Drosophila melanogaster: one gene and its partners. The gene in region 1 interacts genetically with each later gene. Each region holds a gene or a part of one and is shown on either strand. Other genes may lie near its edges.

Region 1 (7,535 bases):
CACCACCGAACGAAATATGGTACCGAAATGAACACATTGCCAGGTTGGCGGTTCTGCGCACGCGCACAGTTGTTGGCCAGGCTTAAAGGCCCCTTCGTTGATGCCCTGAAAGCACTCTCGTTCCTACCCTGCTCCATCCCCATCACCATTCGCATCCTCCGCTCCATCTGCGGCTCGCTTTGGCCTGGCGACACTCGTAACCGCAGGGCGACGGCGCAGCCCGTTTTCGATTAACGATGACCGTGGTTGAGGACCAAGACGAGGACGCGGATGGAGGCAACTTGAGCGTGTGCCAGCCGAGCGAAATTTTATCTGGATGCCCAGCCGATCAGTTGAGAAGCTAGAGCTAGGCTACACTGAAAAAAAGTGATTTCAAATTATTTTTAAAGGTGAAACCATTTCAGAAAACATTTTTGTTGTGCTGCAAGCTGCATGCGAAGTTGTATGGTATTTTCAAAAGTGTTATTGAACAATTATTTTTTAATTTTTATGGAGATCTTAAAATGGTTTGGGATGTGTAAGTCCGAGTTGAGCACTGAGTCCGTGGCAACGCCTTCGGTTTACATTTTACAATCCTAACAAGGTTAGGCCGCCCGATAAACGGAGCTGCACTCGTTTGGTTATAAGGCTAGGTTGTGATCTGGGCTTTTCAGCTGAAGTTGCAGTTGAAGATGCAGTTGAAGTTGCAGCCGAAGTTGGAGGCTGGGGATCGGAACTTGGAACAGGCAGCTTGCAGCTGGAGGTGGCACATGCCTAACCGGCAACCAAGCTGCTATGCAAACACACACACACACACACACTTATACGGAGCGGAATGGTGGCCATGGCTACGAACTGTACATACGGAATTGCACATTAAAAATGAGCAATGGGAGTGGGCGGAATACGGAGGAATGGGAAGTGGGTTCCGAGGGTTTCGTGGCAAGCGGGCGGCTGATTCCAGCCGAGCGATGTCTTTTTCTGTGGCAGAACAAGGTTGGAATGGCCTGCGTCGCCGCTACCACCGTCTCTGCACCGGTAGAAAAATCATACTGACATAATAATAAACTAATAAAAATAATTAAAACACTGTGAAGGCCAATTGATTTTGCTTGCTCATTTGGGTACACACAATGGCCACTTAAGTTAAACAGTTTTAAAGCCCCTGGGTAATTGTCGATGGTTCTAAATTTATGCTAAGCTTTTGTATTTAAAGGGCTCAGTCTTAAATAATCTAAAACATTAAACTATTAAGGGTTGGATAGATTTTTCAGCTGACACAAGGCGATAAAAGTTTACATTTTTATGCTGTTCTCTTACCGAATTAAATACGAATTCACTATTTTCTTGCAGTGCTCCGCCGACTCTGCTTAATGCAATTCAGGCGAAAGGCGCACAAAGGGACAGCGAACAAGATGCCGAGTTGCTGATTGTGCGGGCAGCGCAGTCGACGCGGGCAGAGGTGTCCGCAAAAGCTTTTGTCGCCGCCACAAACATGGAATATGACAAGCTGGTGAGGAGTAGGATGGGATTCGGATTGGGATGGAATGGGATCGAGCTGAATGGGCTGAGAGCAGCAAGAGGAGGAGGAACGGGAAGATACTGCTGGATGGTGCCTGGCATGCAAAGCATTGTCAAGTGGGGAGCAGGCCAAGTGCTACACAAAAACCGAGCGACAAAGAAACGTCGCAGAACGCTGCCGACGCACGTGAGATGTGGATGCATTTGATGCACGGAGCGAGAAAGGGATGTAGAAATTAGTAGTTTGAAATTATTGTAAAAGAATTCTTCTGTTTGTATTTTTTAGTTAAATTAATTACTTATCCATAAATACACTGTCTAACTATTTCTAAGCCACTTAAAGGTATAATATAATCTGAAAAGACCTCTCTATTTGAAATAAAATTTCAATGGTAAATAGAGGAGCGGCTCTTGAATGTTTAAATAAAGTTTAATGCTTGCACTTTTTGTTCCAAGTGCATGATTTAAGAGTGTGTAGGCTTCCCTGTGTGGGCAGGGTAGGGAAGCCAGGCGAAAGAGCGATGGAGAGAGCGAGAGACAATGGCGACAATAAAAATGCGATCGCACAACATGCTCCACAGATAAGTTAACGCAAAGTGACAACGTACAACTTTTAATGGAATTGTCGTCGCCGACGGTGGGCGGTGGGGCGTGGCAGGGTAGTCAGGAGGGGAGTGGGGGTATATATGACATAGCCAAGAAGTCACCGCATTTGGAGCGCTGCCAAGTCAGTTGAACTATGTTTACTTTAAGGATACGGCCGCCACCTGGAAAAGGGACCTTCAAAGGCTGCCTTACACGATTCCGAATCCCCGATTCCGATCAGAAGTGGGCTGAGTGGGGGTCGACACACGAGCACATGAAAATTGCCTTCGGCAGCTACTGTGGCACAAGCTAAAGAGAGAGGATGAGAGCGAGCGCGATCGAAGAGAGAGCGCCAGCTGCTCCCATTGGAGCAGCTAACGTTTCCAATTGGACCAGCTCAAAGGGAATTCTCTCTCTCTCTTTCTCTCTCGCTACTCTCACCGCTTACTGGTCTTTCTGGTTTTTGTTTTGTTTACGATTTTCGCTGGAAGAAGAGAAGAGTAGATCGCGCTACCACAATCAGTTGCTTTTCAAGCTTGCCACAAGCAAGACGTCAGTGCGCGCGTGCTGCGATATCGAAATCGAAATAAACTTAAAAGATATCGTAATTTCAGAAATCGAGCAGAATTCATACGATCCAGGAAAAGAACCAGCTAATATTGGAATATAAAACCTACCCAGTGATCAAATCGGCGGTGCTTCAATGTGCGCGTAGTGGTCCGTAACCGTATGATGAGCCTGACTGTGCTCTCGCCACCGCAACGTTTTAAGCGAATCCTGCAAGCCATGATGTTAGCCGTCGCCGTCGTCTATATGACCCTACTGCTCTACCAGAGCGCCTACGGATATCCGGGCATCCAAGTGAGTTGCGAGTTCGAGTGGGCGACATAATCCAGCTTGCGTGGGTGTTGTTAGCGCTGCGAAACTGTCAAACGTGTGTGCTCCGCACTGATCTGCATAAGTTGCAAAGCTGCAAAGGCCAGGCAATTTGCATTATCCCCCTTTGATTCCGATCCCGATCGACGTCGACTCGTGCACTTTCATAAATCAACGCCGGCGACTTGAGTTTTGCAGCTGCGGCTTTGGCCGTTAAAAAAACCTTTTACGCCCTTGCCTTGCATATAAAACAGTTTCGGTGCTTGGCTTTTTGCGCTTTTATACCCTAATAGGGGGTATCATAATTGAACACAAATTTCGGCGAGGAAGCGTTTTAAAAGGATATACCCTACGATTGGTGATTGGATGGGGATCGGTATCACGGGGAATTCATTTGGAACTAAGGACTTGATTGCTTTAGAAATTGTGCAGAAGTTTATGTAGAGGTAGTGCCTAGCTTAGTGGTTTGTTTCAAAAATGGAAATATGATCCTGAATTTATTTGTTTTTTTTTTTTACAATTAAGCTTATATTTGATTGATTTAAGGACAAGAGAATGTAATTCTGTTAAAGTTGATGTTCAAAGATCGGCTCGCATTATCGAGACATTATTAAAATCCTAAAATCATACCATTAGGCACTTGGAATATATTTTTGAAAATCACCAATACTTTCCAATTCCCACAAGAGTATTCCCAGTTTCGATTACCGAAGATCCAGTCAACCGTTCCTGAATTTCTTGGTTTGCCGTCGGCAGAGCGTCGCCAAAGCTTTCAGTTGCCTGATTCCAGGGCCTGTCAGGGTTCTGAGCCCTGTCTGCTCTGCCCATTTATTATTGTTCTCTTCTTACTCTTGATTTTTGCATAAATTTTTGTGTAATAAAATATTGTGTGCTAATATTACCAAGGTGTGCGCTGCGAGGGGGGATCTCATGGAGGTGAATCTCAATGGACTCGTCCAGTGGAAAACCTTGTCAGTTGCATCACAGATAACAAATAGTTGAGGTCCGTGGGAATGGCCTTAGTTAGCCTCCTATTGCATTGCAAACACTTTTTGGCAGGGTTTTATGCGAACAGGCTATTTTTAGAACCCTTGAAATTCGAACTATGTGTCCACCTTCTAGGATTATCATATTTTAAAAACTTTAAATGAAACGACGCCATAAGAAAATAGTGCACATATTTTTAATCAGTTGCATATACAGATTCCTCAAAGTTTTCTTCCAACATTTCTTTATATAGTTCGATTTTTGTTAAATGAACCCTACTGCTGTAGTTATACCTTCAACTGTTACAGCTCCCTAACTAAGGCTTACAAATTTCATAATATTAGTGATTCGAGCCGCTGGCAATAGAGTTAAGAGCTCATAATTGAATCAGCTGCAGCATCCTCAAAAATATCCATGTAATCCCCTTGCCCTTCACCACCTTCCGGCTTCTCAATTTGCAACTCAATTGCCCAACTTCGAGGCTTCGAGGCGAGTTTGTGGAGGCTCCCCTGTAATGTTTTCGCATGCTGCTGCTAGTGTAATTAAAAACTTTATGTTGTTTTAATTCGGACAATGCTGTTGACGTTGTGGCTCTTCCAGTTGCTCTACTCTTTTTTTTATTTTTGTGTTCTGGGGCTAACCGGAAACTTGGCAGGAATTAGTGCTACACACACATCGCACTACTAAATACTGAGCCGGATAAAAAACTGTCGACAACTGCTGTACTGTTGTTTGTCTTTTCAATTGAAGTTCTGTTCCATCGGAGGTCTGTGACTTGTCCCAGTTTAAAAACTGCATGCCGCGTACAATTTGCTTAATTCTTTTCGTACTTCGTATATGAGTGTTCTCTTTTTGTTCCTAAATGTTGCGCAAAAAGTGCTGCTTGTTGACTTGACATGACTTGGCTTGGCTCGATTCTTCGAACTGTTGAACAGCTAAACAGTCGACTGGACACATACTCGCGCTAAACTGGGCTTGGCATTCGCCTGATAAAGCAATAATTTCGAAATCGGGCGGGGGCGGGGCGGGGGTATTGTCATGGGGGTCTCCATCAGCCCCACAACCCTGCCTATCCAAGATTCCCAGTATCTGATGTCTCATGTCCAGTTGCAGCTCACGTCGCCAGGTCGCCAGGTTGGCATGTCGCGTGTTGCTGACGCATAAATCATAAATGAAACGAAATGAATAATAATCGTCAAACGATTTGCTTGTTTATGAATTTCTTTAAAGTGGCGCGCCAAATGGCCACCAGTCGCTGATTGATTTGAGTAGTTTGTTGTGGCTACACTGTGATCAGCTTACCGATGACACATCGATATGGATAGTAGATTACTTACGTGCATTTATGAACGTGCACAATATAGATTTTTTCTGTAATGACATCTAATTCTTCTTCTAAGATATCCGAATTTATTTTCCAGTATGGACTTTCAAATATTTTTGACGAGTGCATGGTAAATACATAATAACATTAACAAACTCCTAAGCTGAGGAGCATGCAAATCAGCTTGAGGAAAGCAACAGCCACAAGAAGCCTTCGAGGCAGCCCGAGAGACAAAGACCACGATGATGATGATGATGATGATGTGATTCCTGTTTTTGGCCAGGCCAAAAGCAGGTGCTTGCTCTTCACTTCCCATGGCCAACTTAATGCAGCTGGTTGCAGCTACCTTTCCGTGGCCCCTCGATCCACAAAGCCCTCCTTCTGCCCGCCGCTCACGTAATCAGCCCGAAAAAGTTGACGACATTAAGCCGCGGAAGGCGCCTGATAAAAGGAGTAGTATCTGCAGCTGGGCAACCGAGTAAAAGATACCCATATCTGGGTATCTGGGTATCTTTTGGTGGTCGCTTAATTGAGCCTGGATGCTCGGATGCCTGGCTGCTGAGCTGCTGCTGTTGTTGTTGTTGTTGTTGTTGTGTGTATCTTATCTTAGATTCGTATCTTACGGATAATATTGTTAAACAGCATTTAATGAAGATTTTCCCGCTCGCCCAGCTGGAGGCGAACGAACGGTTCTGATTGCATTTTTTCGGGAATGCCTTTGATTTGTTCGATTTCGCTGATTTATGCTTTCCGTTATGGCGACCAGAGTTTAACTCAATTAATCTTCCCAAAGGTCGCCTGAGAGGGGTAGATTCCATTTGGCGCCCTTTCATATTATTCACTCGCACCTCTTCGCTCGATTCTTATGGTTTGCTCGTTATTAATTGACATGGAAATGTTTATAAACATATTAATCACGCGGCTAATGAAGCATTAGTCATTCGAGTGGGCGTAGTGGGGGGCAGCTGTTGCTATTGTGCGGACCGTGTTAAATTTGTTTTGGGATTTTATATCTATTGAATCACCTTTCACCCGGCACTTGTATGTTGTAGGCTGTACATTTGAAGAAAAAATTTGAGTTCTATTAGAAAATACGAAATAAGAATAATGGTGCAAGGGTAGTTTACCAAAAATGTATTCCATATAAAGTGCTTGCTTACATATTAGCCAATTAGCTTTTTTGATGTGTGTGGTTAAAGTGTATTCTTTTCTAAAAGTTTTTACTTCAATTTGGCTTATTGTAGTTGTCAAAATCCGCAGGCGGCCTGCATATATGGGCACACGTGTTTATGTATCTCCAGCTGAATCTGAATCAGAATCCGCAACTGTGAATATGTATCTGTATCGGTGCTTGTTCAGTTTCATCACGTTCGAGTAATTCGCAAATCCCACAAAAGTGTCACAAGGCATTGCTGTTTTCATAGTCCGTAGTCCGTGTACTTGATTTGCATACTTGTACGGTTAAGCCACTTGCATCATGTCGGGGATTGGAAAACTGGCGCACATTCTAATCCGATCCAAACCTTGAATTTACGGAACCCGCTTAATTGAAAGAGGCGTTCTCTGCGTTATATAACCAAGTGGCTTTCACTGTCTTGTCTTTAAGCCGAATCCCTCACTCAAGTCACGACTTTTTTGCTATCTTTCTTGAACAAATCTCCAGTGCGATTTCCCATACTCGCGATTTCTGCGCAGCCAAATTAATATTTCAGCAAATTTAATTGCTTCGGGTTTTGAGTTTCGGTTTCCCATCGGCGTCGAAGGCAGTTTACACCTGCCACCGTTATCGTCTCACTCCCGATTTCCTCATTAGGGAGCTGCCATTATATTGAACACCGTTTGGCTGTCGATCGTGCGGCAATAAAATTCTATGAGCCCAACTTGTGGATGGGCTATCAACGAGACAATATCGTGTGAAGCAATATAATCCAGCGGGTTCCAAAGAGAAATCTCTTCTTTTTTTTTGGCGGGACAAAGCTGGGAAGCCAGAGCTAACGCTTAGATTTATAGCGGAAGTTGCCCTACGATTTGCATAGAGTGTTAGAACTGGGCTGTCTTTCGCCCAAGGTATTTCCCATTCGAGCAGACGAACACTCGACCTTTATCTCCGGCTCAATCGAGGCGAAACTCCACGCCCCACCTGTCCCCATTTTCGTGGAGGGCCATTAAAACGAGCAATGGGGGAAAATCTCAAAGAAGAGCAATTGAAGAATCGCCGACAACAAAAGCAAATGAACCTGTTATCAGTGGAAATTAATCAAGC
Region 2 (9,703 bases), on another chromosome or scaffold:
GTCAACATCACTTTACCCAACACTGAGGAGCGTGTGAACCTCTTAAAATCGCGCATCAACAGGCTGGGTGACATTACGGTGGCCGGCGATGTTTGCGCACGCGAAATTGCAATGAAAACCAAAAATTTCACGGAGGACGAGCTGTGCCAACTGGTCCGAGAAGCCCTCCATGAAGCCATTGTCCGCACTCACGTCACCAGATGCCCGAAGGGCCTTCAAGTCACTCAGGTCGATCTCCTGGCCGCGGTAAAGATCATTCAGCCACGATTTGGCCGGCAGGAGGAGACTCTCCAGCTGCTCATGCCATATGAATATCTAGATCGTACCGCTTTCGATCCGAATGATCTCCTGTCCACCGGACGCCCAAGATGGTCTTGCCATCTGGTCGAAGGTAAGCCCAAGTCAGGCCTAACTACGGTGGCCGCTCAAATGGCTTTGAAAACAGACTGCCCTTTTATAAAATACATCTCGTCGGCCGAATTGCTGGGACTTAGCGATTCCGAAAAATGCCAGAGAATACGGGAAGTCTTGGAGGACGCCTATGTTTCCAGGCGCAGCTGCGTCATCATTGACGACTTTGAGCGTGTCATTGGTTACGGCGCCCTGGGTAAGCGGTACTCCAAGGAGTTCCTGCAGAAGCTGACGGTTCTTCTGAAGAAACAACCGCCCAACAGCCACGAGCTCATCATCATTTGCACAAGCAATCGTCTCGATGTCCTGGAGGAACTGGGCTTGCTATCCGTTTTCACTTCAGTTCACAATGTGCCAAATGTTTCCACGCCTAAAGAACTTATGGTCATAGTGGAAGCTTCAAAACGATTCGAGCCCGAGGAGCTACGCCAAATCGAGATCGCCATGGATGGCCGCAACGTCTCCATTGGCATCAAACGGTTGCTTGACTTGATTGCGTGGGTGAATTCCCTAAATCCCGACCGTCGAGCTGCCAAATTGCTGAAGAAATTGGGCGAAGCAATGGGATGGGTAGGGAACCATTCTAGTCCACTTGTACCTCAATACATTTAAGACGTTAGGTTAGGAAATGCAATATTGTATCTACAATTCCAGGAAAATAATTCCAAGTGATTCCAAATAATTCAGTAATGCTTTATATTTAAAAGAACCACGTAAGCATAAAAAAACCATCTAAAAAAATAATATTGCATTATTTTTTGGATGAACTTGCTTCCATTGCATTGCAATGTTCTTAAGACTAAAATGAACAGCCCGATAATGTGATTGCAAAGATACTAGATTATTATATTATATATATATTATATATACACCAGGCCAGACCTCTCAGTGGCCTTCGCCTGCTGTACGGAGAGCATTCCGTCCTCCAGGAGTTCGGTGACCGGTGGGCCCAACATCTCCTGGGCTGCTCCAAAGGCGGGCTTGATGTCGTTGTCCAATATATATATATATACATAATTATATATATAATATATATTATATATTATATATATATATTATATTGTTCTAGTGTCTTTGGTGATTGGCATAACAAGTTTTATTACCATATTATATATATATAAGTAAAAATAAAGATATTTGAATTGCAAATGCCACCCATTTTATCGTTATTTACTTAGAGGATTTGGCTTTTGATACAACACATTTTTTGGATTGTTTTCTTCACCAATCCTGGTGCTGCAGAGCTGCTTAGCAACAGCGAAGAAGTCTTGAATGCGGGGGATATATGTATTATTAGAAAATGCAAATGCGCGCCAATGAATTCAAATTTGCACTGCAGGTGCCGTAGCAGGCATCTTTTGCTCGCAATCACAGTGCATACACACACGCAATGCCGAACAGGGTTGCACTCCCTCAACGGGCTATCAGCTGTTTGAGACAATTTCGGGATTATATTATAAAATTGCTACGAAAATGTCAATTGAAAAAGCCCACCGGATGAGAGCGATCAAATGCCCAACGGATGAGCTGTCCCTGACGAACAAGGCGATTGTGAATGTGTCCGATTTCACGGAGGAGGTCAAGTGAGTGTTGGTTTTTGTTGTTTTTCCACTTCCTACGTGGGCGTACGAGCCTATGGAAACTTTCGCTTATGCTAATGACGCACCGCTTGATACCCTGCAGATATGTGGACATCTCGCCGGGCCCGGGGCTGCACTACATCTTCGCGCTGGAGAAGATCAGCGGGCCGGAGCTGCCGCTCGGCCACGTCGGATTCTCGCTGGTCCAGCGCAAGTGGGCCACGCTCTCCATCAACCAGGAAATAGACGTGCGGCCGTACCGATTCGATGCCAGCGCCGATATCATCACACTGGTCTCCTTCGAGACGGACTTCCTGCAGAAGAAGACCACCACGCAGGAGCCCTACGACTCCGACGAGATGGCCAAGGAGTTCCTCATGCAGTTCGCCGGAATGCCGCTGACCGTCGGCCAAACGCTCGTCTTTCAGGTAATGGTGTGGATGTGGCTCCCCCATAAATGTATGCAGTATAGAAAAATAGATAGCAAAGGACTGAAACTAAGGTAGTAATCTGGAGAGGATTAGTGATATATGCCAGAGCCAGTTAAAATACTACCCAATTCAATGAGGGTTCTCGGTTTATCTCGGACGCACCTATTCATTATTTCACCATTTATTGTGTGCACTTATAATAATTTTGGTTTTGTATAACTTTACAAAAAGATTTATACGTTCATAGCATAGCGGTAGTGAGAATATTCGTTATTTGTGTTATTCGATATTCGTTATTTTATATTTACTGACGTGTCTTGATTGTCATGAGATGCTGAATCTCATATTCCACATTTAGACGGTGACCTAATGCAAATATTAACAAGGTAGCTTACCTCCAACAATTAGAAACCCAAAGACACGTAACTCTCCCTTAGATCATCTTTTTGGCTCTCTGCCAAATCTTTTTTAATAATTCAGCATACAATGTCCCCCTTTTTTATGAACTAAAAATAGTGTGTTAGGCTGCCCTCATAGGAAATGCAACTATCTTAACATAGTAATTCTTCTAACATGCTCCTTAATGTACATATATCGTTCGTTTGCTAATAAGGATGTTTACCGCCTTTCAGTTCAAAGACAAGAAATTCCTGGGCCTCGCTGTAAAAACGCTGGAGGCAGTGGATCCCCGAACAGTGGGCGATTCCCTACCGAAGACTCGGAACGTACGATTCGGCCGCATCCTCGGTAACACGGTGGTGCAGTTCGAGAAGGCCGAAAACTCTGTGCTAAATCTGCAGGGTCGCTCCAAGGGTAAGATCGTGCGGCAGTCCATCATAAATCCGGACTGGGACTTTGGCAAGATGGGCATTGGTGGCCTAGACAAAGAGTTCAATGCGATTTTCCGACGCGCCTTCGCCTCTCGTGTTTTTCCGCCGGAACTTGTCGAACAACTGGGCATCAAGCACGTTAAGGGTATTCTGTTGTACGGACCACCAGGCACGGGAAAAACCCTGATGGCCCGGCAAATAGGTACCATGCTGAATGCCCGCGAACCCAAGATCGTGAATGGACCGCAGATCCTGGACAAGTACGTGGGTGAATCAGAAGCCAATATCCGGCGACTGTTTGCCGAGGCCGAGGAGGAGGAAAAGCGCTTGGGACCGAACAGTGGACTGCACATCATCATCTTCGACGAGATCGACGCCATTTGCAAGGCTCGCGGATCCGTGGCCGGTAATAGTGGTGTCCACGACACGGTCGTCAATCAACTGCTAGCCAAGATCGACGGCGTGGAGCAGTTGAACAACATCCTGGTAATAGGAATGACCAACCGGCGGGACATGATCGATGAGGCCCTGCTGCGACCTGGACGCTTGGAAGTGCAAATGGAGATCAGCTTGCCCAACGAGCAGGGTCGCGTCCAGATCCTGAATATCCACACCAAGCGGATGCGTGACTTTAACAAGATAGCTAGCGATGTGGACAACAATGAGATCGCGGCCAAGACAAAGAACTTCAGTGGCGCAGAGTTGGAGGGTCTGGTTAGAGCGGCCCAATCCACGGCCATGAATCGGTTAATAAAGGCGGACTCCAAGGTATATGATGCACAGCATGGCGTGAAAGCAAAGAAAGGGGGTTCTCTTAATTCACATTCGGATCGAAATGTTATTTTATTTATTTGGCGTATTCGCTTATTTCATTTATCTCTCGGTTTGCGTTTCGGGTTTCGTTTAATTTCGAGTAATTTGGTTTCGATAAACCAAGAAAGCGATTAACGTTCGACTGTTCCACTATTCTAAAATTACCATCATCATTTGCTTTTCTACGATCCAAGGTTCACGTGGACCCGGAGGCTATGGAAAAACTGCGTGTTACGCGAGCCGACTTTCTGCACGCATTGGACAACGACATCAAGCCCGCCTTTGGAGCAGCCCAGGAGATGCTGGAAAATCTGCTGGCACGCGGAATTATAAACTGGGGCCCACCGGTCACCGAACTCCTGGAGGACGGAATGCTCTCCGTACAGCAGGCGAAGGCCACTGAGAGCTCTGGCCTGGTGTCTGTTCTCATCGAAGGAGCTCCCAACTCCGGCAAATCAGCGCTGGCCGCTAATCTGGCCCAGTTGAGTGATTTCCCATTCGTTAAGGTCTGCTCCCCGGAAGATATGGTAGGATTTACGGAGTCAGCCAAGTGCCTGCACATCCGCAAGATCTTCGACGACGCCTATCGCTCCACATTGAGCTGCATTGTGGTGGACAATGTGGAGCGATTGCTAGACTACGGTCCAATTGGACCCAGGTACTCTAATCTCACGCTGCAGGCGCTATTGGTTCTACTGAAAAAGCAACCGCCAAAGGGTAGAAAACTGCTGATCCTGTGCACTTCCAGCCGGCGGGACGTTCTCGAGGAGATGGAAATGCTCTCGGCTTTCACGTCCGTCCTGCATGTGTCCAATCTCTCAACTCCCGAGAACGTGCTTGCCGTGCTGGATGATTCTGATTTGTTTAGTCCCGAGGAGCTGCAGAGCATTGCCAGGAAAATGGCGGGTAAGCGATTGTGTATCGGCATCAAGAAGCTGCTGGCTCTCATCGATATGATCCGGCAATCGGAGCCTCACCAGCGGGTTATCAAGTTCCTCAGCAAAATGGAGGAGGAGGGCGGTCTGGAAATGGATAGGGTGCAAGGGCACTAGCTACGCCTTTAAATTAATTTACATTCCATTATCAAACAGCAGAGTGGTTCGATTTGATTGATTCAAACTGGAAAAACGGTTATGTGTTTACAATTAAAAATATATATATATGTATTAAAACAAAAAACCGTTACAAAAATACTTATAACCTTTTGGGAAAAAAGTACAACGTAATATAATATAATAATATATTCCCATATTTCAAAATATCTTACTTGCAGAGTGGGTTTCTATAAAATTCTATACTTTCGTGAAACTTTGAAATTAGTTGCCTTCAAGCCTAATACACAGAACCGGTGACCACTTTTATTGTTTATTAGGAAGTGTATAATTTTATAAACTCATATTCTGCAAATCGAAGAAATCGACCCACCCTAGTGCAATTTTATGATTGTGTTTTTTTTCCCGCTATCAAAAGGGAATCACAATGATAGGTTTCAGCTGCAATATAATATTCTAACGCTATACTTCGCTTAAGTTCCACTAAAAAAAAAAAAATATAATAAAGCGTAACTGAAGACCAACTTGTGAGATAAAGTCAAGTAATTTGTAAGTTTTGAATTTGATGATACCAACGAACTTAAAGTACTCGCATTAGCGACTAAGGATAATCCGTCGGTGTCCACCATGAAAATCTCAGTTTGAGTGCACAGACTTACATAGAGAATTTGATACCAACATGATGTATTTTATAAGGATTTTACGGATATTGCATTTACCATGATAAATAAAAAAGACAAAAATCCGATGATGCAGCCCTAATAGATTGATCTTTTAAATCAAAATTGAATTAAGATGCTTAAGCGTTATACCGATACTTAAGAACTATAATTCTGAAAGTTATTTTACAGAGCGCACAGTTTTGAATACGTGTGATTTTTATTTACATGACTTTTTACCAAAAACGAAAACAAATCATTTTTGTTATATTTTTCTTTACATCCATAAGTGAGATCACTTTGGGTTTGAAAACTAGCTAAAGAAGGTGCATGTCTTAGCTACAATTTCTGAATTTCGATCGAAGCTTTTCGAAAAACACGAAATATATGTGAATCATTTGTAAATGGATATGTCTTTTATGGATAAACTTGATGTGTACCAACGGGATAACAAACTAATTTATGTAATTTACCCAATAGCTAAAAATAAATGGAGTTTTCCCAAAGACTATGGTCTTTTTAATAAGAACGGCTGAAACGATCTTTAGTCAAAAATATATATAATGCAAATTGATTGATTGCCTTTTCTTTTCGTTCCAGGACACATTAGTTCCCTTGGTAGTTTCGGAGTGTAGCAGCTTGAATTCTTTGAAAACTCCTATTTATTTAAATATTGTTTTTTCTCGGCGATCGCCGCCCGACAGCTGTCCGCTTGGAAGGCGTCAAGTGGTTATCATACCATGTACTCACCCGATCCGATCCGATCAGTCCGATCCATCGATCAGCTGTTCGCGACAAGATCCGACGCCGGAACCCAATCAGAGCAGTGGTCAGCTTGGCCGAGGTGCTGACCACAGCCAGTCGGTCGGCGTAATATGCAATTTGAATAAATGATTTATAATGAAAACACCTTAGCGGCGCGTCGTCTGCGTATACGTAATGTGGAGCGGAGTGGAGTGCCACACTGCTCGGTAATTGATATATGGCGCTAATTGCGCTCGACGCCCATTTGTGGTCCAGTCCAGCTTTATCAGCGGCAGTCGTCTGAGGAATCCTGGGTAGCCATAGCCATAGCCAACAGTCATGGTAGCACCCAAAGCCATGGCCATGTCGCGACGGTGTCAGCTGCTAGTCAGCGCCACTTATTAACTAATTAAAGCTGCATATTTGCAAAGATCTGAAAATTGATTTGCATTGCCAATTGCCCCTGGAACTGCTCGACACAATCATGATTTTGCCCAAAGGGTAGGGGAAATTCTGGACATCGTGATCGTAAAGATTTTCACACTCCAAATATACATTGTAAATGTAAGGACTATTAGTAAGTCTACGTATAATTGAAACTATATGAAAAGCAACATGATTACTAGGGTATGCCCCTGCATAAGACTTACATTTTAGTCTAATGCCTTATTGGTCATGTGCAATACTTGTGATTTTATAACCCTTAGATGGGTTAAATTGGCATGCCCACAAGGTTTTTAAGCTTTTATAGTTTATAAATGTTCCAAAAGGTGCATTTGATTTGATTTTTTTATTTAAGACATACGATTTATACCAACAAATATTAAAGACGAGCTTTGCATCTTTATTTCTGCGGACTGTGACCGAGTAAGGATCCTGTCCGTAATTAGCACTTGGCAAGTGCGTCCGAATCGCAGGAAAAGTCACCCACCCACCCGGCAATCGATGGGTAATTATAATTCGCGGATTTGGGGCCCGGCCAGCGCGTCAGTGAGCGGTCGCTCACGTATGCAAAACGCTTGGTGACGAAAGTCCAGTCGGACAAAGATCAACGACCGGGCCAAAAAGCAAAGCTGCGCTGCCGGCAGCAGGAGCCAAAATTAAAACCGAAACGGATTTTCATTCACCGCCTGTAAAAATAACGAAACTCTTACAAATTCGTTTTTTTTTTTTGTTATTAATTATTAAAGCCAGCAGCGGCGCACTCTCTGCACTTGTGAAAAGTCAATTCTCCGGCGCACAGTGTATCATAGTGTATTATTTTGCTACATAAGTCTTTATTATTAAATCTTCTTTAGTGTTTTTGTTTTAAATGAATAATGAAACTTAAAGTATCTATAAAAATTCCTAGAAATACACTAAATATTAAGTAAATATTATTAAAAAATACGTGTACGTACGCCTTTAACACCATTTTTATTATTTCTTTTTTTATTCTAAATCACTGTGCGCAGTCGCGCCTCTCGTAAACTTTGAAACCGGCCCGGCTTAGTTGTTTTTGTTGCTGCTTAAAAGCGCAAACGCCGGCAGCGAAGGTTCGATTTCACTTTCGCACGGTGTCCCCTACCCCTCGCTTCTTTCTCCCTCTCGCACCAGCGGACCACCCCCTGACCGGCTACAGCTCCCCCCCCCCACCTCACCCTTCGCCCCACGAGCTGGCGGCCCATCTGGGGTGTCATGTTTTGAGCTCTTTACGAGCGGACGACGCTCTCACCTGCTTTCTTTCGCACAGAGCTTGTGCTTTCGCTCTCGGATCTTCGATCTTCGATCATCAATATGCGCGATCTCCGATCTGCGAACTGCGATCTTCCATCTCGCATCTGCGATATCTCAAGCTATCCAGAGAAGATGATGCGCTTTTCCAGCAGATTCGTACCATCGATTCGTTTGAATCGACATGGTGATCTACAGATATTTTGGCGCCACATGCAAATCCCACGGAAAATTGTCAAAGCACTGAAAAAAACAGGTATGCTGAATAATTTTCAATAACACGCTTGATTGTTTGAGTTTCCACAATGTCAACTTTTGTATTTGTACTTTTTAAAGAAATATAATACCTATGGATACCTGGAATTGCCTTAATTATATGCCCTATTTTTTTTCCAGTGATTGCAAAACTTACAAGCGTGCATATACATATGTACTTTCAGCAGCTCGGGGAAAATGTAAAGCGAATACAAAACAAACATCATGGAAAATCTTCCTGCATTACACAAACGCGGAAGATTTTCCTCGTACTCGCACATTTCATGGTTTTTCCAAAGCTCAACTAGCATTTTCGTGGCATTTCCATTGATGTTTTCGAGCTCTTTTTCCTTCTGCGCTTGTGTGTGTGGTAGTTAGCATGCGAAACTCGCAGATAAATTAGTATTTTTTGGCGCTGCCTAAGCTACAATTTTACACTGCGACTGTTTTGGGTTTTTTCTTGGCTTTGGTTTCGGTTTCGCTCTTCGCCTGGTTTTTTTTTCATTCATTTCATTTTCCCCTTTGCAATTTATAATTGAGTTGCAATTTGGCTGGCAACTATCTGTGGAATGCAGAGGGGCGCGGGGGCGGACTTTTCGCGGAACTTGCATGCGTATTAGTCATCAACTGAGTGGGGAATAAAAAACGCATTGGTCGAAAAATTTGGCAAGAAAATGGGGAATTAACCCACCTAGCAAGCTGCTCTTAAGAATGAGTTGAATATTTCATTACCAATTTGTCAGAATTTACTTTTGTAGCTATCATTTTTTCAATATTTTGATGGCGATTTTATCTGAGTATGTACACAACTATTTAAAGGATTAAATGTATTCGTCTAAGGATGAGCTGTGGCAGATATCACTAGAGAAAATGATATGATGCACAGAAATACCGCCTAGGCACTCGAGGGTTAAACACAAGTATGTATTAATATGCCATTTATAGCCTAAACACAAGACACAACCCCCGATATTACACACAAACTTCGTAAAGGAGAAGAAAAAACGAGGCACGATCAAAAGGAGGTACAAATCAAAACGCAGAATCAGAATCCGGGGCAAAAAGCTCGAAACTCGAAATCTGAAATCTGTGAAAATGTTGCCGCACGCGATCGAGACATTCGCATTTCATTTCATTTCATTTTATTTCAATTCATTTCGATTCATTGATACCGGTGCAGAAAAACATGGGCGAAAAGAGCGGCCCAGTTCCAAA
Region 3 (7,746 bases), on another chromosome or scaffold:
TAACGATTTATAATATGGATGGCAAAAGAAAGACCACAAACAAATATCAACATATTTAAATAATTTTAGAATATTTCCTTTCGACTTTGAAAAAAAGAATTCCGTAAGGAAAATTATTAAATAAAAAAAAGAGAGAATGATATAGTTAAGTTTTCCGACTATCAGATGCTCGTTACTCAAAATTTCTAAAAATGGTTCAAAAGTGTGGGCGTTCTAGCTTTTATAGTTCCTGAGATCTCGACGTTCATACGCACTGACGGACTTGGCTAGATCGACTCGGCTATTGATCCTGATCAAGAATATATATACTTTAAAACGCTTACTTGCACCTTTTACATAATTTTCAACGAATATAGTATGCCCTTTTACTCTACGATCAACGGGTATAAAAAATAACAAAATAAAATAAATAATAAAAAAGTACAACTTATTGCTTTTGATCACACTTGTTCTATTTTTGGCGTACTTATATATACTTAGATATCAATGATGACTCGTAAATCCTGGAGGGTATTTTTTTAAAGGCTATTATTATTATTATTGTTGCTATTCGTTTAAAGCTGAGTCATGCAAGCTGATGTTGTTAGGGAAATTAAAATCAGTAGAAAACCTTATATCGGTAGGTATACCTACCGATATAAGCTTGTCTACTGATTTTAATTAATATATATATATATATATATATATATAGTGACGTCCCATACTCAACAAGAAGGGGTACATAAAATGTTTTGATCATATCTCAAATCTATTCAATTAAAGTTTGACTTTAAATATAATTAATCACTGTTTTAGTTAATGTATTTACATTGTTTTAATAGGGATTATATCAAAGTTGAGAATAGTGAAAGTAATAAAATGTAAGGTAACGAAAGTAATTTTTACGACTAACACTTGTTTCATGTTTTATTCGTAGTATTCGTAATAATCGCAAGTAATTGTCAAAAGGACAGAAATAATGGCATTTCCGGAAAGCTATGTGCCCTGCACAACTTGACGATCTGAACAAAGAATTGAGGCTTTTAGGAACACGTTATGGCTGTTTTTATTGTTAGTTATTTTAAAACGGTTCCATCGAAACCAAAACATACAATAGATGTATGTTTTCTGTGCCAATCTATTATAAAACGTTTAGACAATGAGTTGTAACATATTATTCACCTGATGAAGGTTGCTCTGCATAGTGAACCAAATTGCAGATAAGTGGCAAAAAGTACAATATTACAGATACCGAGCTAAACAACTAATATACCACTACAAATATTCAAACAACTTTTAAGCTTATTTGGCCACTCTGTAGACAGAAAGCACTTACTTCAAAAAAATGTCTGTGTTTTTCTAGCTATATCAAATGATACATTTGTAAGTTCCTAATTTGAAGTTCCTAACATTGTCGATCCACAGTCATCAAACAGAGTATATCGGATGTGTACGTATAATAATAATAATACGTTATAATAACGTATAATAATATAATAAGCACCGTTAATGCCTAACATTATTGTAAAATACATTAAAGATCGAAAAAGTTTCTACTATTTTAAAGAATATAAGAATCGCAAACATATGTATGTATATGATACTTAGTGCACTAAAAATATTTTTATTGTGTTAATTTGCCAAGCGCACAATATCAAGCAAATTTCCCCTTGTATTTATTCACATTAAAATTGAGTTTTTGTAGAAAAAATTGAATTGAATTAAAATTGAGTTTTGTAACAAACTTAACAATAGGACTTATTGATGTTTCCGATATTTTGATTACGGGCAAATGACAGCTACAAAAAAATGTATTTGAATTCGTTGTCTATTTCTCGCTATTGGATATCGGTTACTCAGCTAGGCAGACTGCGAAAAATAAATTTCAATTTTTTTGCATATCGAAAGAAATTGGAAAAAAAATTAAGACGAATGATAAGTTAGAAAGGGTGTGTTAAAAATTTTCTTGGTATTACAATACATACATAAAACGGAAATATACCAAAACATTTTCATCAAGATGGGCGTGGCCGCTTTGGGCTGTTTGTGCATGTCAAAGAGTTTTTTGGCAAATCGGTAAAAATTTAAAGACTTATAAAACATGAAAAATATCAAAACATATTTCAAAAGCGTATTTCTTGGCGGTTTAAATTTAAATTTTTGTTCATTTTATTCACCGATATCTAACGATATTCCAGCAAAATGATGAAATGTTGCGTTTTCATTCCCACTAGCTGAGTAACGGGTATCTGATAGTTGGGGAACTCGACTTTTATATATAAAAAGAAATGTACAAAAATAAAAATTTGAAAAAAAAAACTCTAAAATTACTTTTATAAAATTTTTAATAGTCCGAATTTAATCAATTTCGTAACTTGATCGATGTGCCGAATTTATCAGGTAAACACATCATCAACACATTTTCGAATACTTTAGGAAGAAAGAATTTTGAGATATGGGAGTTTGTTTTAGTGGACTTGGAAATACTTTAAAACGGCAGTACAATATGAATGTTCAAGACTAGGTTTCAGCTTTTACAATTCCTAAAACGTTTAAAAGGACGGACGGTTGGACGAATAAAAGAACGGACAGGCGGACATGGCCAGATCAACTCGGCTATTGACCTTAATCAAGGATATCCCTTATAAGGGTCGGTAACCCTTCCATCTGTCTGTTACATACTTTTCAACGAATGTTTCATACCATTTTACTCTTCCAATTTATTTACGATTTTCCTATTCTTATACAATACAATCTTATACAATTCTTGTACAATATATAGATGTGGTATATATAGACTAGAATTCGAATACTCGTACATCTCGATTTACAGTAATCGATGACATTTGGAAAACATACAAAAGATGGGAATTAAAACAAACACACAGATTTCAAACACCAAAGTTGTAAAGTAACAAAAAATTGTTTGCATAAAGTATAAGGAATGCGTTATGTTTCAAAATAGGAATAGCAATTAAAAATGACAAAATCAAAAATAGGTAAAAGATGTTCATGTAACTCATCAAGGCAATTCGTTCTTTTCAAAAAAATGGTACAAGAATATCTCTGTGTGGTAGAAAATGCCTTATTCGCGTTAAAAATTAGTATTTGAAGGTCAATTGACTACTATTAAAATATATCAAATTGGTATATATTGGCACACGGTGATTATTCTCTAAAACTGAATACGTTCGCGTCGAATATCAGATATATACAAAAATTTCGTAAAAACGTACATATTTGTTTTACCTGTATTTTGATTTCTACATATCTATTAATTTTTTTGCACGACTATGCCGCCCAATTTGATTGTATATTGATTAGTACGACTATCATCAAAAATCTGCCTTCTTAAACATTAAATGATTCTAACCTAAGTTAGATGAATAAAAATTAAGGCAGGGAATCACATTGAAATTTTGTAACCGCGTTCTACAGCAATGTTTCAACGAGCGAACTAGCCACTGATTGAACACTTCTGGGAACTGTTTTTAATCTGAAATGCCCAAGCGGCTTTCTTATCGATATTGAGTGGGGCTGTCTGTTGATAGGCAAGCTTTCAGTCTGGTATTGATAACTCCGAGTAACCCAGGCTCGGATCAATATTAATCACAAAGGGCAGAGTTTGGGTGAGCTGGGACGGACTGGTGGATGACTTATTTTTTAGTCTTATCGCTGGTAACTTTGGATTTTATGTGCTACGGCGGCAGAACTTACCCAATGCATCACAGGGCGCTCCTCGGTGCAGACGCCCATGTGCGTCTTTTGGAATGACACGAGGTCTATTTCCAAGGATGATGTCCGTCGGTCGTGTTATGTTTGTCGTTGTGTAGGCTGTGCGTTGTGTCTTGCGAGCCTTATGCCTCCTTAAAAGGGCTGCGGTGCTACGTTGGTCTTGGGTAATCCTCTACACCCCGGCTAGATGTGCTATTGGACACTTGACACTGGCCACGATTAGATGCCCGGCTAGGCTCGCCGGTAATAAGTGTGCGCACAACTTGATCTATTACTTTGCGGACATGCATCACTTCGGCGTTGTCTTAGAGATTGACACCATTGGCTTGCCTTTTCTTATTGCACAAACTACGATTTGAATGCCGCTTTTTTTAAACTTTCTCCTTAGCACCAAGGTAATATAAGGAACATAGGGTCACACACTCACTAAAACACTTGACTCGGCGGCAGGTAGGATATTTGTATTGATTAGAAACCGCCCCTGTATCTCGAGCGCAAAGGCGTTTTCGGACCGCTGACGACCACCGGTTAGCGTAAGAAATCTAAAGTTAATTTATGACATTAATTTACGAGACAGCGCGAGAATGGCACATCAGATCCAAATTGAGTGGTAAAGGTCGGCCTTTGTCGGGCTCTTCCTACGACACTCGACGATGCCTGTTACTGATAAGGCATTAGAGACAGAGGCGCGTATGCGTATGCGGCTGTGCTCCCTTGTGTTGTTGTTTATGACCGGGCAGGCGATTACCGATCCAACTTCAGTTTTGTATCCGTTTCGCCAACTCCCTGTTTCTGTGTCGATTCTCCTTCGATCCAGTTCTGGCAAACCGAAACTACAGCCGAGCTCAAGTCAAAACAAAAATCGAATACGCGCACCGCTTCCAAAAACAAAAACCGACTCAAATTCGAAACTCGACTACCGACTTTGGTCTGCAGCTGATCTACTCAAAATCGTGAGGACAACCAGCCGTCGCAGCTGAAAAACTGGGAATGTTTGGACGCTGTGCGAGCGCAGCGCCAGAAGCCAAAAAACTCCACCGCCCCGTTCGCCGTGTGTTTGCGTGCGTGATGTGCGCGCGCCAGTGTGAGTGAGTGCGATGTCGCGCATGAGCTGCCATCCTGCTTGCACACACGCTCATTCCGCAGCTCTCACGTAGTGGCAAATGGCGGCGCTCTCAGCTGATAGCGTCAGTAGCTCGTTCCCGCTCTAGAGCACAGCCAGTAGACGAAGAGGGCGTGGTGTTCTATCCGCGCTCTCGCACCAGCCGAAATCGCCTCCCCACGCACCGCCCACCGGACAGTTGGCCGGCTGCAAAACGTGAATAAGGCAGCGGTAGCAGCAGTCAGGAGGAGTATAAGCTGTGCGCCAGACGCCACATGAATGAGGATGGACTCCAGACTCGAACTGGAAGCTGCGAGCGGAGTCCGTGACAGGAATTCCAACTCGCAGAGGACGAACAGTGGTCTGAGGACGCACAGGGGAACGAACTCTCACACCAGCGGGTCTTCGGTTGACTCTGCTGATTCTTTAGTTGTGTAATGAAAAGATGCATGGTGTCTATATATGCCGTCTTCATGCTGAAAACATCATGCAGAAAAGTTGTAACTAACTTACTGAGAGCTATTTATTGTGTTTTCGTATGCTGACGCTATAAATGTTGAAAGAATATAGGTTCGTTTGACAGGTGTATTTATAATTCTCAACCAGTTCAAACGCTACCAGCACTACGCCCAAGTTGTCGCCTGCTTCCAATAAGAACTGTCATCATAGAACCTTGCTGTCACTTCTCCTTTAATTCCGCACAAGCTTGAAACAAAGTGCACACAAATCTCCAAATGGCTTAGGGAGCAGATTTAACGTTAAATACTTTTATTGCAGTTACAGCTATAAATATTCAGCTTTTGTGGTATGCATTCACTATGATTCCACAAATGTTTGACATTTTGAGTGTTTTGCCGGTTGTAACTTACATATATTTGGCAAGTTTTGGTTGAGGTTACGGTTACATTTTAATAATGTAAAATATTTGCCATTAACTGCAATGCATTTTCAGAATTTCAACCAGCTTACGTTGATTCAATCGTTGAAAAAGAAATTTTTTTAAGTGTAATTGTTAATATACTTCTGCTGTTACATACATAAGTTCGCCGCTGCTTTTTGAACTCTTCGCAGAAAGTTTTAAAACATGTATTACGTATTTGAAATGTTTGTGCGACTTAGCCTTCGCATTTAACTTTATTTTTGGGCAAAATGTTTCACCTCGTTGTTGCTATTGTTGCTTGTTGACTTAAGAGGGCTTTCAAAGAACCCCGGTTAAGTCGGAACTGATTGGGTGGATTGGTTGTGGACGTCGGCACAGATTTTGGGTCCTTATTCCTTACGAATATACACAGCTGAATTCTCATGATTTTAATATTGACAAGAGTAAATGCGAATACATGCAGTATTTTCAGACCATTATAATTGGTACAGTGCCTCATAATAATTTGTTTATAGATTCTTTTAAATTTTACATCTTTTTTTATTGTAAACAGGCCCATCTTACAAAAGTGCGTAAAATATACTAATACATTATAAGAGATGGGCACATAAGGACAAAATAACGGTAACAGTAATCATTGGTAAAACATTGGTGTATAAACCGATTTGATCTTTAATAATTGTAGATTTATGTATAATAAACGTTAATCATGTTATGTGATTATTAGAAAATATAACCATCTCATCCCTCTGTTAGAATTCTACTCTACAATACGTAATAAGGGTATACTGAATTCGTGGCAGTTAAGTTTTCTTTAGTCAACATCTAACGAAATACTAAAAATATGTAGTTCGAGTCACTCCGATACTTTTGAAGTTTTTAGATACCATAAATATAATAAGTGGTAAGTGTAAAAGAAGGGGGCAGGAACCTGTCTCCCTCGAAGTTAATTTGGCTAAGTAAGGGATATCTAATAGACGACGAACTCGACTATAAAAAAAAATTATAATACTTACTTGAATAAAAATAATATTATAAATTATCCTTTCGAAAGAGTCAAGAATGGCACTCCAAAATACAGCTTAGTAATAAAAAAAAAAAAACACCATGACGGATAGCTACCAGAGGCAACCTAGCCAATTAAGAATTTTTTTTTTTGTCAAAAATTGTCAATCCGTACTTCACAGATGTTTTAAAACTGAATATTCCCTTAATAACTCATATTTAAAATTTCAAAATTGGGTATCCTACGACGTCATGGGCGATATTTCAATTTTCTCAAACACAGTAAAATAATAGAATATTTTACAAATAAAATGTATGTACCTACAAATATAATCCTCATTTCTTGGGTATATTGTTTTTTCTGACTAATGACAGAGCGCATTGACCCAAGCTGACAAATATTTTAGCTTACAAATTAAAAAAATTTTTAATTGTTGCATCGCTGGGGTTTTGCTAATAGAATTTTCGAGGCCGCAGAGAAACTAAGCTCTCTGCCTCCATATGGGGCAGACAGAAAGAAGTAGGGACAGATGGACGTGTTAAATGATCTCGGATTTTGAAAGTGATCATGATATATAAACTTGCTAAGTTGCTAAGTATCATTCTACCCGTTATATGCTTTACAAATACCTTTTCTTCTAAGCCAATTCTTAGTTTCAAGGATAAACAAGAGAGAATGCTCTAGTCGGCTAGTGAGAATGCGAACGGGGAATTTCATAATTTAGCTGGGATACCGACAGATATTTGTGAATTAAAGCTCCCTTCTACCTGTTACATACTTTTCAATAAACACAATATACCCCTTTCCTGTAAAATAACGGGCATAACTAGAGTCAAGACATGTATATGATACAACTTACAGATAATGATATTTCAAGTGCCTCGACTATTGGATAATAAAACAGATAAAAGCAGATTAAATTAATTATTTATTAATTATTAATAATTTCAAAAAACTCTTTGGGCTACCGATAGAAGTTAGCAAGATAAGTAATGAAGTCTGAAATTATCAAAACATATTTTAAAGCGGGGGTGTAGCAGTTTT
Region 4 (7,742 bases), on another chromosome or scaffold:
CAGCTGCCACATCGCGATCGGCCGCAGCAAGCTCACTGCAGATGCAATTCGCTGCCGTCGCGGAGAGCAACAACGGCAGTAGCAGCGGCGGTGGTGGCGGCGGCGGCGGCTATGGCAGCATCGCTGGCGCTGGCGCCAACGCTGATCCCCATCAGCCGTACAGCCATGACCGCAACAGCCTGCCGCCCGGCGTGGCTGACTGCGATGCCAACAGCAACAGCAGCAGTGTCACGCTGCAGGGCCTCGATGCTCTCTTCAACGACATTGGCTCGGACTGTAAGTACTTGAGCAGCTAAGCGCCTAAAATAATAGTTGTAACGTATTGGCAAAGGTATACAAAGATGAAAGATACTTTGCAACATGTGTACATATCTTTGCAACCGATCATGCCTGCAACCGCCCGCCGAACATTCATTCATGATCATTTTGCATCCGCCTGTAACTCTTTTTGTAGTAAATATTTAAAGATACGCAGCTAACTGAGGTGCCTACGATGCATTTAGATCTATGTGAGGCGCACTTGTCAAGAACTTTCTCTGTGACCCGCGTGTACTTAAAAGCCGCATCACAGTCTGAGTTCTTGCTGAGTGCGAAATCCTCGAAGCAACATTAAGCGAAATCATGGGTCGATTCCAAAAAAGAACCTATATTTATTTTAAATTTTTCAATTTGTTTAATTTGTTTAATTTTTACAACCTTTCGGCCAACGAGAATCAGTTCAAAATTGCCAATTTGATTTTATTTTCATTTGCGTTTAATCGAATTCCTAACTCAAATGGAAAAAGAGCCAAAAAAAAGCAGGGCAAAATAAATTGAAGTGAAAGTGATATTATAGGCACTTCAACTCCTAAATATATATGTATATGTAAATAAATTTACAAAAAGTAAACCACCCAACCGACAACCCTATATATAACATTTATCATTGTGTTTCATTCACAACTTTTACTTTCACACTGTGCTAACAACGAAACGGTAACCATATACTAATAATATTAAATAATTGTGCATAAATGTATATATGTATATATATCGACATAAAACCCGCCGCCTCGTCAGCAATCGTCCTCGTGTCAAATTCATTTTGGAACTGAATTCTCGTGGGTCTGCACTGACAACACTGACCGCTCCAGGGCAAATTGTTCATTTTGAAATTGAAATTCTGTAGCACCATGAGATTCAGCTCTGGCGTGAATTTCAAACATGCATCCACAACATCTCTCGCTCTATCAGCTCTCAGCTCTCTCTCTCTCTCTCTCCTATTTTATGGTTGTCCAGATGAAATCGTCAAATAACCCAATGTAAAATCATATGCAGCCAGCCCAGCCCCGAACTGCAGAACATTTAGTAATGCCGGAATATTCAGTAATGTGTTGCATTCTTATTTACAGACTTCAGCAACGATATCGCCTTTGTGTCCATCAATCCGCCGGACGACAATGACTATCCGTATGCGCTGAACGCGAACGAGGGCATCGATCGGCTGTTTGACTTCGGTTCGGATGCCTATGGACCCTAAGAGGAGACGTCCACGAACACAATCACAACCACACACACACACACACACACATGTCTACAAAATTGGGATTCTGGGGGTGTTTATAATTTTAAATTATATACAAATGGCAAAAGAAAAAAAAAGATACAAAGCCAGCCAGCAAATTATTAAATTATTTGATTGCAAATACTAGAAGCCACAAAAAATCCAAAAACAAAACACAAAAAAAAGCGAATCAGCAAAACTTAATGAAACTAAGTTGTGTGTACAATTTTAAGCGTAAAAATATATACATTTAAATTTATAACCCAAACTAATTTAAGCGAAACAAAACGAAAACACAAAATCTACTTTACAAAAACTCAGCCTCACGAGAGAAATAGGGAGAAGTCGTAGCAAGAAGAGCCACATTTTATAAGCAAATTTTAATTTTAGCCTTTAAAAGAAAGCAAAAAGAATCAGGAATACTATTTAAACGATTGGATAACACACAAAAAATGCGAATACTTCCCTCTTATCAAACAACTTTTTGGGCTAGAACTGTCTGTAAATTAGTAAAAATAATACCAACACACACACACACACACACACTTATATAATTTTAAATTATAAAACAAAATAGTTGTAAAGCCAATCAACATTAAACAATAAAAAGAAAATCAATTTCAAATTGTAAAATATATCGAAGACATTTCAAATTAATATGGAGCAGTAGTAGAAGAGGAAGAGAACACTCCTGGGCCCCCAACAAGATGGCTTTGGTTCCTGTTTTAGTGACGCATGCAACAGAATCCTCTTCTCTTCATTTGCTTGGATTTATCGATTGATTTTTAATTATAATATTATTAAAGCTATAACTATGTATCATAATTTGTTATTGTTATAAAATTTAAACTGTAAACACACACATGGGCCCAATAGCAGTTTATTCATAGAAGCCAAATCATCCCACAAAACAAACAACCAACCACTTAACAGAGTCAACTACAAGTACATAAATAATTATTTAAACTCTCTCCTAGTAGTTATATATTTAACTAAACGATAGATAAAAGCAACAAACAAATGCAAATCATACAATTGTAAAAAAAAATCAATAAATAAACGAAGGAGAACCGCAACAAGCCGAAACCACTGTATAATTGTACGTTTAATTTTTATAAGAGAAAACACACTTGTTAGGTACTTTTCTTTCTTTCCAAAAACAAACACATGAAAAAAAGAGAAAATAAATATTACAAAAACGAAGGAAACTTTAAAATAAACAAAATAAATTTTTAAAACCGAATGTCTACTGTTTCAATTAAACTGAATATTTAAGTTTTTCAAGCCGAATTTAAATAAGGTGAAGTTTGCCATGGTCACAAGAAGTGTTTTTTGCTAACTTCTTTTTTAACTAAGCAATTTTGAATCATCATTTGAATGTTTTTGGTAAATATTATTTTTTATATTAATTATTTTTAATAAAGTATAAAGACTGTACTGTTTTATGCATCTTTTCAAAGATTTTTTTAAACACCAAGTTGAATTTTAAATATGTGATCCATTCCTTGGATTTTGATCATTTTACCCATGAGTAGTTAGCAGACTTGTCTGCATGTTTTAAAACGCCCGCCAACTGGGAAAGCAGTGCATTTTAATGCGCCCGCCAACTCGGAAAGCAGTAAAACGTAGCACTGCTTGCAATTTACGATATTCAAGTATGGCGCACTATCTTTAAACTTGAAACTTGCGTTTCTAAAAGCCAAACCCCAAAAAGCAGATCCTAGCGAAATATTTAAAATTGGTTTAAATTGGTTTTACAGCAGCTCCTAGTATTTGTAGTTAGTTAGTATTTATCACCTAGGCGGGGAGTTCAAGGAAATGATTATGCTTGATTGCATGGAAAGTAGATGCTCTTGGACAATGATTACATAAAAATATTTCCTATGTCATTAAGAAATCGACACAATAATAGCGCCATTATTTTATTATATTTTCTAAATTTTTCGAAAAAAAAGTGATCCAGAATGTAATATTTGCTAATGACATTATGCTCATATAAAAGTTTTTACAAATGGAATATCCGTTTTTAGTGCGCGAGGATTCAGTATTGGGCTTCATGGCGTGTTGGTAAACGAAGAGCTCTGCTATAGGTGGCGCGCTAGTGTAACAGCCGGCACTAACAGAGTTCTGTAAGCGGTCAAAAGACAGAGTTCGAAAACGACCGAACAGAGTTGGAAAACGCGCTAAACCGAAAATCGCGTATACAACAAGGGTAACGGCTGGCAGTGTTTCACGCGATTTCGAAACGTTGAGATCGTTGCCGCGGTCGCCGTGAATTGGAATTGTGAGTGTGTTCGTCGTGCGGAAAATCATCGCTGTCAAATAGAGGCCACAGTGAATTGCCGATACCTAATACTGTGCAAGGCGAAATTATGTGCCCCAGCATTTCGTGAATGAAAAGTGCGAAAATACAAAATACAGAGCAATAGTGCGAGGTCGGTGGAGTTCGAATTAAAGAAATTCCACGAAATACAAGTGCGGGCGATTCTCGTGTGCTGGCGAGAGTGCGGCTTGTCCGGGTGTGTGAGTAAAATTCACGGTAAATAAATAAATAAAATTTGTGTACACACACATACACACACACACGCGCGCTCTCCTATTATTTATATATACACAGCATGTTGTGAAGTTGCGGCGCAAAAAGAAAGCACGCGAATAAAACATAAGAAAATTTAATTACGCCTGCGTCTGGGAAAGTGCGTCGTTCTATTTTGAAATCGATACCAAAATAAAATACAAATAGAAATAAAAATCAAAAATTAGGTGACACAACAACAACTAGATCAACAATGCACGACAACAAAACCGTTGCAAAGGGGTATGTAACAAAAACAACAAATAATAATAAAATGAATAATAGTAGTGAGAACGTAACTAGGAAAATACTCGTGAAATTACTACGCAGCAGCAATTTATGCCAAGTTGTTTTTGCTCTCCTCCTCCTCCTCTCTCCGCCCGGTTCCTCTTGTTCCTTTTGTTGTTGTTCCATATCTATCATATCTTGGGCTGTTGTTGTTCTTCTTCTTCGCACACCGCTTTACGTCTCCGTTTTGTGAATGAGCGGCGCAGCCAACATTGTTCTCTTTTTCTCTCTCTCTCTGTCTCTCTGTCGTGCGGAGAGCGGCTGCGCGAAGAGAGGCGGAAAAGAAATGAAAGAATTTCGATTGCTGCCGGTTTTTGTTTTATTATTGTTGTTGTTGTTGTGCTGGTTTATTTTTTATTGTTGCACGCATTTTGAAAAGTGGTACAGATAAGTTTTCCATTGCATTAAATTAAGCCAGCACTAAAAGAGTAACTAACATTATTATTAAAAATAGTATTTCATGAAATTACTTAGTACTATTGCTAAAGACTGTCTCCTTATTGTCCTTGGTAAGTTTTAAAATTAATCATACAAGCGTCAATAAGAGCTATTCAATAGAATTTTATTAAATATTTATAGAATTAGTATAAATTATTAAAAAAAACAAAACAATAAACTTCAAAGAAGTGTCTTAGTCGACTTCCATTAAACACCCATACATTTTTCCTTAAAAGGCGCTTTAATATGTATGTTGCTCTCACCCCCTCTTCAGGACCACCTGCAAAACTCAATTTTTTATTTAATATTTCAAAAATAAAATTGAACTCACCTGTTGACTTGTCATGATTTTCAAACCTTTATAATTCTAAAGTTATACTTTGGAAAATGTGTTGTTTTTTAATGTATGGTGGACACCACACTTTCAGCGGTTGTCAAAAAGTCATGACAGTGCTGTTTTTTATTTTATTTTGGAGCTCGTAATTAGAGTGACCAAAATGCTGAGTAAACCAGCCAAATATATCCAGTACAATTTTAAAGCTCTCACTTGCTAAAACAAATCCCAAAAAGTTGATCAAACTATTTGCTCAAACTGTGACCTTATAAATCGGGTTTCTTTTTATCTTTAAGGTATATGTATAAGATATCCATTAAATTTAGTTTAATGGAGACTTTGTAAAAACGTTTGGAGCTTCTACAATGTTTTCATTTTATAAACATTAATTATTTAATGCCAACTTAAGCAGGTTGAGACTTTAATGACTTAAGTTGACATTAAAAGTGGGATATCCCTTTAAAAGAACGAGATAAAGATACACCCACGATTTACGGGCTTTTGATTTTGTGTTGTATCCGCAACGGAAGCAGATCAATAGATCGGGGGTCTGTGGGTGTACTGAAATAGTGATAAATGGGAAGATATTTCCCAAATAACTGGCGTGGAGATATTACGGGTAAGTGGTTTTGTGGGCGGGAAGGTGGAAAATGGGGAAATGTGGGGATGGGTCCGCTTGCTAATTAAAAAGCATAAGCACTAATTGGCGTGCCGCTGCGCTTGTTGTTGCTATTTGCGTTGCCGTTGAACTGCCCACTTGCTGTGCTCTTATTATATTCGCGTTATTATTGTATAATAAGAGAGAAATGCCATAAAAAATTGGGAGGTTGGGTTAAAACAACAGGCAAAACCGAAGTAGAAAAAAAAAACACCAGAGAATTGCGCATTTTTGTATTAATCATGCTATATTTTTGACGAGGCCCGAAGAATGTTGGCCAATGTATTTGTATTTGTGCGTAATTTATTTATTTTTAAATCGAGTTTGCCTGCCTGCTCTCTGTGCATTTGTGTGTGTGTGTGTGTGTGTGCGAGCATAAGTGCGAGTGTGTGTGCGTGCTGCGACAAAAATAAGTCGCCGCAATAACAAATTGCTGAAATAGAACCAAAATAAAGCAGAAGAACAGAAGAGATCTATAGAGGATGAGGCAATGACGGAACCCGGGCCAAGTTTGTTGTTGTTGCGCCTGCTTTTGTTTCTCTGTATTTTTATTATTTTATTTTTGTGCATGTTATTTCTGATATTGGCTTTTTAATGGTGTGGCTAAAAACCGGAAATTGTTTGTCCGGCTATTGTTGATGACGTATGACCATCGAGTTGTTGGCGGCTTTGGCGCATAATTTGGCCACACTAATTAACAGTGCCGAAACGAACAACAAAAACACACATGCCGCCACCAACACGAATGCCTTTTAAAGCGAGAAAAAACAAAAAAAATGCTCTGACCACATGTCTAAACGTAGCTGCGCGCAGGCCAGAAAGAGAGGGCACGATTGCCGAAAGAGAGTGGCCGGTGATAAGCCTGTATGTGTGTGTGTGTGAGCCGAGCGAGACAAACAGACAGGTGTCATTGACCTTTTTCGCTGCGAAACAGCACACACACACACACATTCACACAGCCAAACAATTTTGTGTGCACTTTTTTCAGCTGCGTTTGCTTCTTTTCCCTCTCCACCCTCTGCCCCTTTCGCACTCTTGCCCTGCTGCCGCTGCTGCTTTTTCTCCTTTGTTGTTGCTGCTGCCTTCACTGCTTATGCTGTGAACTGCTTGGCCTTGAACTTAGACGCGCGTCTTCTAATCGCTCCACACTCCCTCCGCTGCCACGCCCACACATGCATGCACGCACTGCGATGTTGTTGTTTTTGTATTTATTAATGGGACCAGGAATGGAGACGATTCGACATAATTAGTATGATAATTGAACGAAATATGTGTTTCAATTCATTCGTTTTATACCTTCCATAGAATTAATTTTCAATTGGTTTTAAAACAAAATTATAGTTTTCTGGTGCAATAGTATTAAATTTTTCTACTAATTTATTTAAGCGACTAGTTCTCAAATACAAGTTACAAATATGTATGCATGTACATGACCGATCACCAAGGTGATTGGGATCTCTCCTTCTTTATTGTTATTATTGCACTGAACAAGCTGTGCGTTTTGGATCATGCCCAAATTGGTATTAATTACGCAAGCCGTGTAGCTGCCATTTGTTTTGCCATTGCGAAATGCAACGTATTTGCAGTGAGTCAACTTGTTTTCGCTGTACCAGCCGCACTTAATTGTGTTTTTATTTGCATTCAACTCGCGGAAAATCGAATGAATCGGAATTGATTGTTCCAAGAAGCGATGCGAGGGCAGCCACAGTGATTCACATGGGGACTCGCATCTCTTAACCGCTCAACCCGCCATCCATACGTCCATCCAACTAGCCATCCATCCATCCGCGGCGCAGACATAGCCACCCACCACCCATCACCCATCATTATAAGCAGCTGCTCCCGAATCTTATCATGGGAAGAGGGTCTAAGGTCCAAGCAAATAATACCCAGCCGCAACAGCCAT

Evidence for each region.
Region 2: of fng (region 1) and Nsf2, changing one enhances a phenotype caused by changing the other (phenotypic enhancement), as found in Drosophila melanogaster (one study listed by BioGRID).
Region 3: of fng (region 1) and ap, changing one suppresses a phenotype caused by changing the other (phenotypic suppression), as found in Drosophila melanogaster (6 studies listed by BioGRID).
Region 4: of fng (region 1) and InR, changing one suppresses a phenotype caused by changing the other (phenotypic suppression), as found in Drosophila melanogaster (one study listed by BioGRID).

What each region holds. Positions count from the first base shown.
Region 1 is NT_037436.4:20,944,581-20,952,115, reverse strand, and holds the start of fng (fringe), read left to right. Parts: upstream 1-2,603; 5' UTR 2,604-2,814; coding exon 2,815-2,946; intron 2,947-7,535. UniProt on the Drosophila melanogaster protein: Glycosyltransferase involved in the elongation of O-linked ligands to activate Notch signaling. Possesses fucose-specific beta-1,3-N-acetylglucosaminyltransferase activity; extends the O-linked fucose on the Notch EGF repeats.
Region 2 is NT_033777.3:13,830,094-13,839,796, reverse strand, and holds Nsf2 (N-ethylmaleimide-sensitive factor 2), read left to right. Parts: upstream 1-1,805; 5' UTR 1,806-1,884; coding exon 1,885-1,994; intron 1,995-2,094; coding exon 2,095-2,419; intron 2,420-3,054; coding exon 3,055-4,020; intron 4,021-4,259; coding exon 4,260-5,117; 3' UTR 5,118-6,300; downstream 6,301-9,703. Other genes in the region: CG31495 (uncharacterized protein), read left to right, coding at 1-1,023. UniProt on the Drosophila melanogaster protein: Required for vesicle-mediated transport. Catalyzes the fusion of transport vesicles within the Golgi cisternae. Is also required for transport from the endoplasmic reticulum to the Golgi stack.
Region 3 is NT_033778.4:5,722,125-5,729,870, forward strand, and holds the start of ap (apterous), read right to left. Parts: upstream 4,709-7,746; 5' UTR 3,736-4,708; coding exon 3,697-3,735; intron 1-3,696. UniProt on the Drosophila melanogaster protein: Required for the normal development of the wing and halter imaginal disks.
Region 4 is NT_033777.3:21,615,346-21,623,087, reverse strand, and holds the start of InR (Insulin-like receptor), read left to right. Parts: upstream 1-3,766; 5' UTR 3,767-4,066; exon of another isoform or gene 4,067-4,361; intron 4,362-7,347; exon of another isoform or gene 7,348-7,742. Other genes in the region: E2f1 (E2F transcription factor 1), read left to right, coding at 1-276, 1,392-1,519. UniProt on the Drosophila melanogaster protein: Has a ligand-stimulated tyrosine-protein kinase activity. Binds 3 insulin-like peptide ligands.